3 linked regions of the Macaca mulatta genome follow. The protein of the gene in region 3 interacts with the protein of the main gene of each other region in a pairwise test. Links are inferred from orthologs where the notes say so. Each region holds a gene or a part of one and is shown on either strand. Other genes may lie near its edges.

Region 1 (4,103 bases), on a different chromosome or scaffold from region 3:
GCAGTGAGCTGAGATCTGGCCACTGCAGTCCAGCCTGGGCGACAGAGCAAGACTCCGTCTCGGGGGGGAAAAAAAAAAAAAAAAGAATAGCTTCAACTCAGGAGGCAGAGGTTGCAGTGAGCAGAGATTGAACCACTGCACTCCAGCCTGGGCAATAGAACAAGATTCTGTCAAAAAAAAACCAAAAAAAAACAAAAAAAACCCCACGATTTACAAGGTAGATAAGTTCTAGCTTAAAAAAATACGGCAAGACTCCCATCTCAAAAAAAAAAATAAAAAAAAAGACTTCTTGGTCTGGCGCAGTGGCTCATGCTTGTAATCCCAGCACTTTGGAAGACCGAGGCGGGTGGATCACCTGAGGTCAGGAGTTTGAGACAAGCCTAGCCAATATGATGAAACCCCATCTCTACCAAAAATACTAAAAAAAATTGGCCAAGCGTGGTGGCAGGCACCTGTAATCCCAGCTACTCAGGAGGCTGAGGCAGGAAAACTGCTTGAACCCGGGAAGTGGAAGTTGCAGTGAGCTGAGCTCACGCCACTGTACTTCAGCTTGAGCAACAAGAATGAAACTCCGTCTCAAAAAAATAAAATAAAATAATAAAAGACTCTTAAGTAATTTTACCAAGTTCACTCTTACTTTCTTATAAACATAAAATTACATTTCCTTGGTTAAAAAAAAAACCAAAAAACAAGTATTGTAAATACAATTTGATGGATTTCTGGCACAGGACTGGAACCACATATAATACTAAGCAAATCATCCTAAGGGTTTTCATGAGCAAGCTACCAAGTGCACGATAAAACTGACATGCCAAGTACAAGTGCATATTCATCCCATCAAAAAGTCACTGTAGTATTATGCCAGGCTAGTTTTTGTTCCCATGAAAATAAGATTTTTAAAAATAGTTTTATTCAGTGGAAGTACACATATGAATTCCTCACCTGTCGTTCACAATAGGCTTTCATTAGTTTACTAAGTGGTGTATGCCTCTTAATCTTAAACTGCACCACAGAACCATCCTGCCCCGCCACCTTCAAATTAATATGATCGTTGTTCTCAGTCTTGACTCCTTCCTGTTAAAAGAAAAATAAAAGTATAATTTGGGAAATGTGATCAACACACACTTTTATAAAGCAGCAGCAGCCCTAAGTTGCTTCAAAAATCAACAGGTTTCTCATACGGTATGCTAAAACGGCATACGGCTGTTTTCAGCTGCTGAAATCAATGTGAAAGAGGAGAAATCCTGCAGCAACAGTATTAGATAGCTGTCAGATACAGAAAAGCCTACATGCAATACTATCAGTAACAACAATACATGTTTAAAGTTGGGTCCTATTCAGTGTATTGAACGTTCTCTTGAAGCTAAACTTTCTAAAATGGCATATATCACTCCCAAAATATATATTTTACCCCCAAAAAAAGTTAAAAATAAGAGTCTCTTTTCTAAGCACTTTAAGTACAACTGCAAGAAACAAAACAATAAATCTACAGCCTGCCATTCAAAACTCATTACCGTTGTCGTTAAAAAGTTACCAAACTCAGTTTAATAACCTAAATCCAATCTCCATTAAAGTAAACACACACACGAAAAATCGAAGAATATCCCGATTCCCTCCGGAACAGCGGTAATACTCAGGACCACAGTTACGTTCTCCTCTATTAGCAGCTTCATTTTTATCTTCGGTTAAGAGCACTTATTCTCCCCTCCCCTTTGTTGTCATGGGTCAAATACACAGTTTTATCCCAAGTGTTTCTTGTAGATTTCGACCCAACCTAAAGTTGTCCAAAATCGAGTGTAGAAGGCATGCTGTAGCCCTAAAACGCTTCAGAAAGTAAAGGCGCGAGAGGCGGGAGGTGTCACCAAACTAAAAGCAGCAAGTCCCGTGTGCCCCGATGATGGGTGTCCCCCAGTCCTCCCGGGAAGTCTTCGGGTGCCTCAAAAGCCGCATTCAAAAGTTAAGCCGCACAAAGTCTCTCTGCTCCTACCTGTGCCTCCAACTTCATGAAACCACATGGTCTTCGCGGATTAGGGGTTCGTTGGCACCCAGGGAAAAGCCGCTGCCCCTCCCCCCTCAGGTCCCTGAGGCCATTAAAGTGGGAAATACTCCACGGGAATCCCCCTACCCCCAGGCCCAGTACGGCGGCCAGCGGGCATCCAGGTTCCTGCTCATCAGCAGCCCATTGATTCGCCCCGAACCCTCGCCCCGCCGCCGCCGCCCCGGGCAGGAGTCCCCAGATGCCCGCGGTTTCTACCCCTGAGAGGTGAAGCCCGAGCCCAGGGGACTCCCCGCCGCCTCGGAGACTGCAACACCCGACGCGGGGTCGGCGCAGGGTGGAGACCCCGCGCGCCCTAACGCCCCTCCTCACGCGCGCCGGACGGCTGGGCCAAGAATCCCCGTTCGGGGCTGGTGGGCCCGCGGGCGTCCGCGATCTGCCCGCCCAACTCGCGCCCCGCGCGCACTCGGAGGCCGCCGGGGGCGGGAGAGAGCGGCGGGGCCTCCTCCGGCGCGGGAGGGAGGAAGAGAGGGAGGGAGGAAAATGGCGCGGAGCGCCGGGGCCTGAGCTGCGGCCGGCCCTGTGGGGGGCCCGGGAAGGCGCTGGGAGCCAGCGGCGAGCTCTGGCCGGACCCCGGCCCGCGCCCTGACCCCGACCGCGCGGCGAGGCGAAGGGGCCGGCGCCGAGCTCACCTTGGGCTTTTCGTCGGCCATGGCGAGCGCCGGAGTCTCCTCAGCTGCCGCTTCACAAAAGAGGTACCAGGTCCGCACCAAACGAGCACACAAGCAGCACCAGGAGCGGCAGAAGAAGGAGGCGGCAGCGGTGGACGAGGGAGAGGGTGCGCGCACGTCGTGCGCTCCCTCCCCCCACCCTGCGTGCGCGAGCACGAGCCGCCGGGGCCTCCCATTGGCTGGCGCCTCGCGGGAGCGCGCAACGCTTACATAACCACCCCCACCCCCCGCCCCGCGCCACCGCGTCCTGGGCCAGGCGCCCGCCCGGCCGGCGGGAAGAAGCGCGGACACGCGCACCCGGCCCGCCGCGGGGGCGCGCCTGGCTCTGGGCGGGGCTGTATTGTCCTCCTTCGTGGTGGAGCATAATCAAAATGGCTTCCAGCTGGTCCTCGGTGGGAACGATGAGGCTCGAGGCTTTAGACGTGAGCCATAGGCCAGGGAAGGCTGACTGACTAGAGGAAGAAGGGGATTCCTAAATCAAAGCCCCAGCATGAGGTTCTGGAAAAATCTCTCTCTTTCAGTGGACCAGCAGCCCTCCCATGGTTACTTCCTCTCAGTCAGTCTTAACCTGCTTCCCACCGGACTCTTGCCTCAAATGCAGTGTCTTCTTCTTTTTTTTTTTTTTTTTTTTTGAGACGGAGTCTCGCTCTGTTGCCCAGGCTGGAGTGCAGTGGCACGATCTCGGCTCACAGCAACCTCTGCCTCCCAGGTTCAAGCGATTCTCCTGCCTCAGCCTCCCGAGGAGCTGGTATTACAGGCGCACGCCACAACACCCGGCTAATTTTTTGTATTTTTCGTAGGGACAAGGTTTCCCCGTGTTAGCCAGGATGGTCTCGGTCTTCTGACCTCGTGATCCGCCCGCCTCGGCCTCCCAAAGTACTGGGATTACAGGCGTGAGCCACCATACCCGGCCTGCAGTGTCTTCTTCTGTCCTGCTGGTAACCCTAGACTTTGACTAGCTACGGGAAAATGTTCGTGTATTCATTCAACGAACTCCTTACTCATCGCCTATCTTCCAAGAGGAAACAGTATCCTTAAGCGAGAACTACCCAACAATCAAGCTTCCAGCCAATTTAATCATTTCCTCCTTGCATCCAGTTAAAACATAGACATGCATCCCTCCTGTCTGAAGAACAATCCAGTGTGTGCACTGGATTCCATCTTGCTCCTCCCCCTGGGCTTTATTATTTGCTTTTGTCCCTGAATTTTCTTCCTCTCCTCCGTTAGTATAGAAAAAAAAAAAAAAAAAGAAGAAGCTCTCAATTCTATTAAGTTACCATCCTATCTCTCTCCATTCTTGGCCAAACAGCTTGAAAAAATGTCCCTGCCAGCTGTCTCCAACCCCTCCCCTCCCACTCACTCCTCAACCCACTGCA
Region 2 (4,104 bases), on a different chromosome or scaffold from region 3:
TTTACTTTTGTTTGACCAGATGCCAGCTGCCCTGGGTAACCGCCATGACACAAGAGAGCTAAGTGCTAGCAATTGAAAATAAAGATTAGGGGTAGAACCAAAAAGAGTCAGAAGTGTGACCTTAGGACTGAAAATACATGTGCTGACTTCATCTCACCAGGCAGAATTTTCCAGGTTGGCAATTTTGCCTCATTCACTCCGTGGATTATTGATTAAAAGAAACTTGTAGCAGCTGGCTCCGAAAGTCAAAGGGACAAAGTGGCAATCAGGCCATGACCAAAATGCACACAGAGGCCAAGGAATTTGCAGTGTACTTCCTTGTTTGTAAATCAGAGTCACAGTGGAGAGCTGAAGGCACCGCAGCCAGCGGCACCACCTGTAATTAGGGAGCCACAAGTACCTGCACTCCATGTGTCTTTCTTGCATGTTGCACATACATAAGATAACACCGAGCTCCCGATTCACATCTCTGGAAAGAGACTACTTAATTCACTAATTATTCACATTTCTACTTAGAATCGAATTCCCAGAGCTTATCGCTTATTTAAGCAAAATCTTTGGCCATCACTGGAGCTGTCATCCCACAGAAGTGCTTAAGCAAACCAGTGGGAAAAGCAAAACTCAGAAAAGCACACTTCCAGAAGCGCAACGTTTACATTTTTAACTAGCTGGGTCACTTTGCAGGAACGACTTAATCTCTCTAATCCTCAGTTTCTTTATCTATATAATGGGAGTGATAATTATAGATTCTGTTGAGAATTAAATTAAATAATGCAGGTCAGGTAATTACTACAGAACCTGGTAGGCAGTAAGCACTTAATAAATGTTAGCAAAGATGTTGCAGCGGCTGACAGTGATGGCGATGGTAATGCTGAAGAATGAGCAGAAGAAATCCTTATTTAAACAATCATTCTGTATCTTTAGAGTTAAGAGTCTTAAGTAGTATCAGCCACAAACTTGCTCAGTCTTCTTCTTTGTCCACAAACATTAGCCAGTGTTCAGTTATGAGCAATACTGCCGAGAGAAAATCTTTGAAAGTTTTGGCAAGGTATTGGAACAAGTCAGAACTACTTATTTGCCTGATATAGATTTTGGTGCATGTCCCTTTTCATATTCAAAAATAAAAGATGCCCAGGATTCTAGGGCCTGTCCAGTCAGCAGCCCCTGCCTATTAGCATGATAATGTTCCAGACCTAATGATGGCCTGAAGGTGTGGTGACCCTGTGTTTATTTCCTTGTTGATTTCCCTTCTCTGGCTCCAAGATCATTTTCCCATTGCCCACAGGAAACAACATCTAGGGGCGAGGTAGGCCTGACTTGGCAACCCTAAAGGTGAACAAAAGGATCTTGGCTTTTGGCAAAAGCAGAAGGAAGTTCAGGGGCGTCTCAGCCCCATCCAAACCAGAATAGATTTGTCACTGATGCTAATGCATGCTGCTCTGCAGGGGACCACTCTCCCGCTAAGCTCTCCATAGCTGCTCTCAGTTTTATGAATCTGCTCTACCCAAAGCCTTGCAGAAGGGACAGGGGATGTCCTGGTTAACCCCTGCATGTACAATGGTGGAGCAGTTTTCATGCATAGCTGGGACACAGAATACTGGAAAGAGAAAGAAAAATTTCCTGAGCTACTGCTAAGCCAGCAGAACTCATCTCTCAAACGGACTATCACCTGAGACTTCACACAGCTGGGAACTGATCCGCAATACAGCAAAGGTAAGATGGCCTAGTTCCTCTACAAGGTAGAATCTCATACCATTTCTTAAAAACGTCACCTCTGCCCACTCAGCCCCCAGTTCTCACCTCTCTCTCTCTCTCTCTCTCTCACACACACACACACACACACACACACACACACACACACACACACCCCAAACTGAGGAGAGTCTAAAAGATGGAAATATCTAGGTGTGTCTTTTTGAAAACACTAGAAACGCCTTGGCATTTCCTCTTTTTATACCCTATTTTTTTCTGCAGTGGCCTTCATTCAAAGCTTATTTACTTTGACAAATGAAAACGACTTGCCAGACAGATCAGTAAAAATATAAGTAATCCCACTAACAGTAACTGGGTTTATGCGACAATATTCTTTATCGGTATTTAAAACACATTCACACACAGACTTTGTTTCATTCCACAGTAGGAGTAGGTGTTGCATTGTAGTTTTACCCATGGATAAAGAGGTTGAGAGAAGCTGTGACCTGCTCATGGATGTGTAGAGTTGTGGGTGACCAGCAGCACATCCTGTCTTCATTCCTATCTCTTTTCAGTAGAATGGTGACCCTACTCTTTACAGAAAATTCCAGACTACATTCTTGGCCATGTATTCTGACAAATGGTCTGATGAGAGGATGGAATTTTAGAAATTGGAACTCTCAGGAAAATCCAGAAATAGATAGCCACAGTATCCTGTACAATACACCACCTTGTCATGTATTCCTGTTTACTTCCATTCCTGGGCATTGAATTCAGTTCAACAAATGTCGATAAACTATGTTCCCTGCTCCAACACTGACTGGCTCATATGTCAGGGCGTGGTGCAAGTCCTGTGCCCAAGGAATGCTGAGGCAGTGCAGAGTAGGATGGCGGGGTGGGGGGCTTCCCTAAAGAGGTGAGCTTCAAGTAAGCTCAGCATAAAGAGTGGACTTGGATTGAGGGAGAGCATTCAGATACACAAATCCCCCGGGAGGAATTTGTTGAGTGAACATTTACTTACACCAAGTCCATGGTGGCAGAGCTGAGGGGCAAGGAGCACAGCCTGAGGAATTAGACTGTCTGGCCTTGACTCTTGGTTCTACTTCCCACTAGCTCTGCATCTTGGAGTACCTCAGTTAACACCGCTAACCTTACCTTGCCAATATGTAAAATGAGAACGATGGTAATACATCCCTCATAAGGTTGTCTTCAGCTGTGAATGATTATGTATGGGAAGTCTTTCCTGATGCATAACAACTGCACAATAAATATTAATACTAACTAGTGTGATGACCATGTGCCTGGCTCCAAGGGAGATGCAGGGAATACAGATAAGAGGAGGCCTACCCTCAGTGTAATCAAAACGTCATGAGATAGTTGTGTGCAGCTAATGACATGAGGTGTGATGCATGCTCTGGAACCAGGAGGGTGGAATCTTTTAAGTCTGTGTGAGCTAGGGTTGGGGTTCTGGGGGGACAGGGAAGGGGGCAGAGGTTTCACAGCAGAGGCCCTATGTGTAGGGCGGTAGTATAGATCAGTGAAAAGAGCTAGACAGATCTAATTTTGAATCCCAGTTTCCTCCTCTATTTACGTATCTATTTATTTCTATATTAATCTATATGTATTGAAAGCCATAAATTCATACTGCCAATTCATACTTCCAATTCCAATCCAACACTCCCTTTCTACATTTGTAACTCCCTTCTCTAACATTCATCAGAAGCTGGCTCCCATTATCCTTAATATATTATATGCTTATTCACTCAATCCCCCAAATGTCATCAACTGCCATCATGACACTGTCCCTTGCCCCATGCAGACGCCCTCCGCACCCTGCTTAGGCCCTGACGCTTTGTTCTGGGCTGCCCTGAGCTGGCTCCTGGAATTCTGGAGCTACCATATGTCCTCCACACCCGCACAGGTGCCTACTTTGCTCAGCCCTATGTAATGTCTTTAAGGACTGTGACACATGCTATACATTTGTGTATGTACCTGTGTTGTCACTGTCTTTGGAGGGGGATAGAGCTATCTCCTCCATACAGGTAGGGCACATGTCCTCAGCATCAGGCCTGAAGAAGCCAGGCTCATTCCATTCATTCTATTCCACTTGGTCTGCTGATCTATATGGATGTGGGCTGCTCACTGTATGCTCGGGGTAGTAACAACATTTCCAGGGGTGAAAAGTACTATTTGGGCAGTCACTGTTCCTTTTGCTTCTCTGTCAAGTCCTTGTCTAGGTTCTCCATTATTCATTTACTTAACAACAGATATGAAGCACTTACAAGGTAACTGGTGCTTGGTTAGGGTGGGACATAGAGATTTAAAACCTTAGTCACCACCCTCAAGGAACTCCCAGTCCACTGTGGGAAGCAGACAAGCCATAAATTTCCATTCCATGTGGCCAAGTGCAAT
Region 3 (4,144 bases):
CTTCAGCCTCCTGAGTAGCTGGGACTACAAGTGCACGCCACCAAGTCCAGCTAATTTTTAAATTTTTCTGCAGAGACAGGGACTCGCTATGTTGCCTCGCTGGTCTTGGATCCTGGCCTCAAGCAATCCTCCCTCTTTGACCTCCCAAAGCATTGGGATTAGGTTTGTGAGCCACCGCTCCCAGCCCGTTTATCTTTTAGGGAATATAGTGACTCAGGCAAGAGACATGGTTGACTGTGTGCCCTATCCTCTTTTGTCTTCAAAGGGTCTTCCCAGAGACTTCAGAGTCAGAGGCTTTGTGAAATTATGTTGCCAAGCAGAATTGAGCAAGTCTGGCTTCTTACATTTGTTACTTTGTCTCACAGAAGATGGGGAATCCTAAAATACAAATTTTGGCCTATAACTTCATACTGTGTGGGATACTGCTTTGGTGAAGTCCGTTTTATTGTCATCCCTTTCTTTTTGTAAGTTAAAAAAAATTTTTTTTGAGGCAAGGTCTCACTATGTTGCCCAGACTGGCCTCGAACTCTTGGAATCAAGTTATTCTCCCACCTCAGTCTTCATCCCTTTCTAGCTAGTGAAAAACAAATACTATGCAGAACTCCGGGTCCTCTTTTCTAGGGCAAGGAGGGGAGCCGGAGGGTCTGGTAGGTCCCAGTGAGGTGACTGCTCCAGCACTTCATCTTTGGGAACATCGGTCTGGTGCCAGTTTGACCCAGGGAACGGCCTAAGTCGCCCGCAGGCTCCTAAGGTCCTCGTCTTTCCGGGTGGCAAGACATCTGATCCATCTCGAGAACAAGTTCCCGGTTGCTTTAGGCGCTTTGTTACTGCTGACGCTGCTGGTGGCGGTTGGGCTCTCGGCTGGGAAAGGCGCAGCTCGTGTGTATGGCTCGGGAGGGGGCACTGAAAAGGTCTTCCTGGAGGGCTTCCTTCAGAAGGAAACAAATTGGGAGTTGTTGGCGGTCCAGACAGTTCGGCAAAGTGCAGTGTCCCTCCTTGGGGAATTTCGGAAGGATCCTGGCCCGGGGTACTCCAAAGGTCCAGCGCCCATAGGTCGAGGGTAGGGGGAGGTACCAGGCACCGCAGCTTGGCCCCAGGGGACATCTTCCCTGCCCCACGCATCCAATAGATGACCCCAGCTGAGGCCCACGCAGCCAATAGCCGACTTCAGCCGAGACCCAAGCAGCCAATGGCCAGCCCAGTGCACTTCGCCCGTGCCCGCCCGCCTGCGCCCACCAATCAGGACTCGGGCCACCTTGGCACCGCCTCTGGACGCCCACCCCACCCATCCGCCCCGCCTCCAACTTGCTCGAGCAGGGCTGGGTAGACCGGCGCACTCCCGGGGGCGGTGTGGGGGGGCAGTCCCGGTTTCGGCCATCGCTCGGGTGGGCTCGGAGCGGCCGCACCGGGCAGCAACCCCACTCCCACTCGGAGGCCCCCTGCCCTCTCCCCCACTTCCCCCCGGCCCATGGTGCGAGGCTGGGAGCCGCCGCCCGGGCTGGACCGCGGTGAGTGATCCCCAGCCCCTTGGACTTCCCCTCCCAGCTCGTGTACGGTCTCCCACCTCTGGAGTCCCATCCCCGCGCTGGTGGGGGGAGAATTCTAGGTTCGAAGTGGCTCGGTTCTCTCTTTTTTCTCCTCTGGACTTTTCGGTTCCCTGTTGTAACTAGGGGAGGGTAAGTGTCTGTGTAGGGGAGGGCAAGAAGGTTGGGTTGGGGCGCCCTTGGCGAGAGTAGGATTGAGATTCGCCTGCCTCATGGGGCTCATCGTCCCAAGTGCAACAACTTTTTGTTCCCTGACCCAGTTCGGAGCCTTCTGGACTGCCTGTGAAATGGAGGATAGGAGAAACATTTCCTTCCCAGGCCCCCCCCGACGCCACACAAACCCCCAACCCCCATGGCTACCTCCTGGCGACCTCAACACACGTGCAGAACCTGGCCTTGCTTCTGGGGGATCAGCGGCCTTTGGGAATGAAAGGTTTAGAAGAAACTGCCCCTCTGATTCCCGTACCCAGCCATACTCAGAAAACCAACCAGGAAACTGAGAACCCGAGTCCTCTGGGGTTCCTAGTGTTGCGTCCTATTCTGAGACTCCTAAAGTGAAAGAAGACTCAAGCTGAGACCTGTTTGGTAATGTGGGCCCAGATCAGGAGATTTTTTTTTTTTTTGTCATGTGAGCCTCTTTCCCATCATACACTTGAAGCCCTTTTATATTACATGATTAGGTTAGATGGTTGTAATTGAAAAAACCAGATTGGGAATTTTAAAGATAATGCATACATATCTTGAACATTATAATTAAAAGTATGTCCATTTCACCAATCTTTTGATGTAGTGGTGAGACTGTTCTTGTGTCTAAGACTGCTGTTCGGAGTTCCCAATTCTCTTTCCAGTGTTAACTACACAGGGAGTCTCAAACCTGGCTGTACCCTGAGAACTTTTTAAAAAACTGTGGATGCCTGGACCCCAGTACAGACTATTGAATCTGAATGGGGAGGAGAGTGGCCTGGTTTTTAAGCTTCCCAGGTAATTCTACAGTGCAGTCTGAGATGAGAGCCACTCAGGCACTTTCATCATCTTTGATTTCCCGTTTTGCTTTATTTAAAGTGAAGTTAAGAATTCAGACGCTTTTGAGTGCAGAGTACTTTTGAGATTAAGTCCCACCCCTCAATCTTTTACAGTTGTCTTGCTCACTCCCAACTCAACAATTTTTAAAATGCATACTCTTCTTTGCGTTATGTCTCTCCAAAACATTTGACTTAGTTTTCATAGGACCAATTTTTTAAAAATCAGTATTCCTGAAGGAACAGTTTTCAATGCAGTGATTTTTCATAGGTTTACATGAGGTTTAATTACATTATTATACAGACACTGAAAAAGTGTGGACATAAGCAGGTTTGTAATCACACAAAACTGGCCCCAGCACACAGGACAACTGAATGAAGCAGATGATTTTGGCGCACTAGTAGTAGCCTACTGGCCTTTAGTTTCCAGTGCACCATGGTATTGGTCATGTAATCCAGTGGGTCAGTTAAGCCAGGCTCCTGGCCCAGGTGAGCATCCTTCCCTTCCACTCTTTCCAACTAATATCACAATTACCTTGTCCCTTCTAAACGCACTTGAATTCCTGAGTATTCCATCAACTCTTTACATTCGTTCACATCAAACTGTTCATCTTTAAGTGATTACCACTATTGCCTTTGTTAAGTTGGAAGGATATAAGGCAGTAATCCTTAACCTGGCTTCTTGGCAGTCACTAAAGGCCCTGAGTTTACTGTGTAAGTGTGAATGTTTATTTCGGGAAGGTTGGTCATAACTTTCTGAGGGTCTGTAACTTTTGTCTGATTCTCAGAGGTTCATGAACTAAAAAGTTAAGAAGCATATAAGCTGAATATCACTATACATCTTTAAGGCCCTTAAAACTGTATCCCCAAACACATTTCAGGAGTACTTCAGACTGCCTCTAAATAAAGATTTAGGGAACTCTGCAGGATCATATCTCATTTCCCACTTTATTTATTTTTATTTTTTATTTTTTGAGACAGAGTCTCACTCTGTCCCCCAGGCTGGAGTACAGTGGTGTGATCATGGCTCACTGCAACCTCTGCCTCCCAGGTTCAAGCGATTCTCCTGCCTCAGCTTTCCCAGTAGCTGGGACTACATGCGCATGCCACCATGCCTGGCTAATTTTTGTATTTTTAATAGAGACGGGTTTCACCGTGTTGACCAGGCTGGTCTCGAACTCCTGACCTCAAGTGATCCTCCCGCCTCGGCCTCCCAAAGTGCTGGGATTATAGGCGTGAGTCACTATACCCAGCCTCGCCTCCCACTTTAACTGTCTCCTAATTTAACGATAGGCCTAGGTTCAAACCTAAAGTTCTAGAGTCCTCTTTTTCCTAGGACTGTGTAAACACAGAAACTGGAAGTTTAAGACAGTCCATTCTTGTTTGCCATCTGTCCAGGGATATGGAAAGCCCAAGGGGAAAGAAGGGTGTTATACTGACTCAGAGAGAGAGTGAGAATTTTTTTTTTTTTTGAGACAGAGTCTCACTGTCGCCAGGCTGGAGTGCAGTGACACAATCTTGGCTCACTGCAACCTCGGCCTCCTGAGTTCAAGTGATCCTCCTGCCTCAGCCTCCCGAGTA

The links. The genes of interacting proteins can lie anywhere in the genome.
Region 1: the proteins of HOMEZ (region 3) and SUMO2 interact in binary tests that used the Homo sapiens proteins (3 or more experiments, as listed by UniProt). The two-hybrid records come from large-scale screens. The link is inferred for Macaca mulatta from reciprocal best matches to the Homo sapiens genes HOMEZ and SUMO2.
Region 2: the proteins of HOMEZ (region 3) and LNX1 interact in binary tests that used the Homo sapiens proteins (3 or more experiments, as listed by UniProt). The link is inferred for Macaca mulatta from reciprocal best matches to the Homo sapiens genes HOMEZ and LNX1.

What each region holds. Positions count from the first base shown.
Region 1 is NC_133421.1:84,873,375-84,877,477, forward strand, and holds the start of SUMO2 (small ubiquitin-related modifier 2), read right to left. Parts: upstream 2,839-4,103; 5' UTR 2,710-2,838; coding exon 2,689-2,709; intron 1,075-2,688; coding exon 943-1,074; intron 1-942. UniProt on the Homo sapiens protein: Ubiquitin-like protein that can be covalently attached to proteins as a monomer or as a lysine-linked polymer.
Region 2 is NC_133410.1:79,855,976-79,860,079, forward strand, and holds the start of LNX1 (E3 ubiquitin-protein ligase LNX), read left to right. Parts: upstream 1-1,266; 5' UTR 1,267-1,713; intron 1,714-4,104.
Region 3 is NC_133412.1:96,383,123-96,387,266, reverse strand, and holds the start of HOMEZ (homeobox and leucine zipper protein Homez), read left to right. Parts: upstream 1-1,287; 5' UTR 1,288-1,468; coding exon 1,469-1,508; exon of another isoform or gene 1,509-1,676; intron 1,677-1,804; exon of another isoform or gene 1,805-3,614; intron 3,615-4,144. UniProt on the Homo sapiens protein: May function as a transcriptional regulator.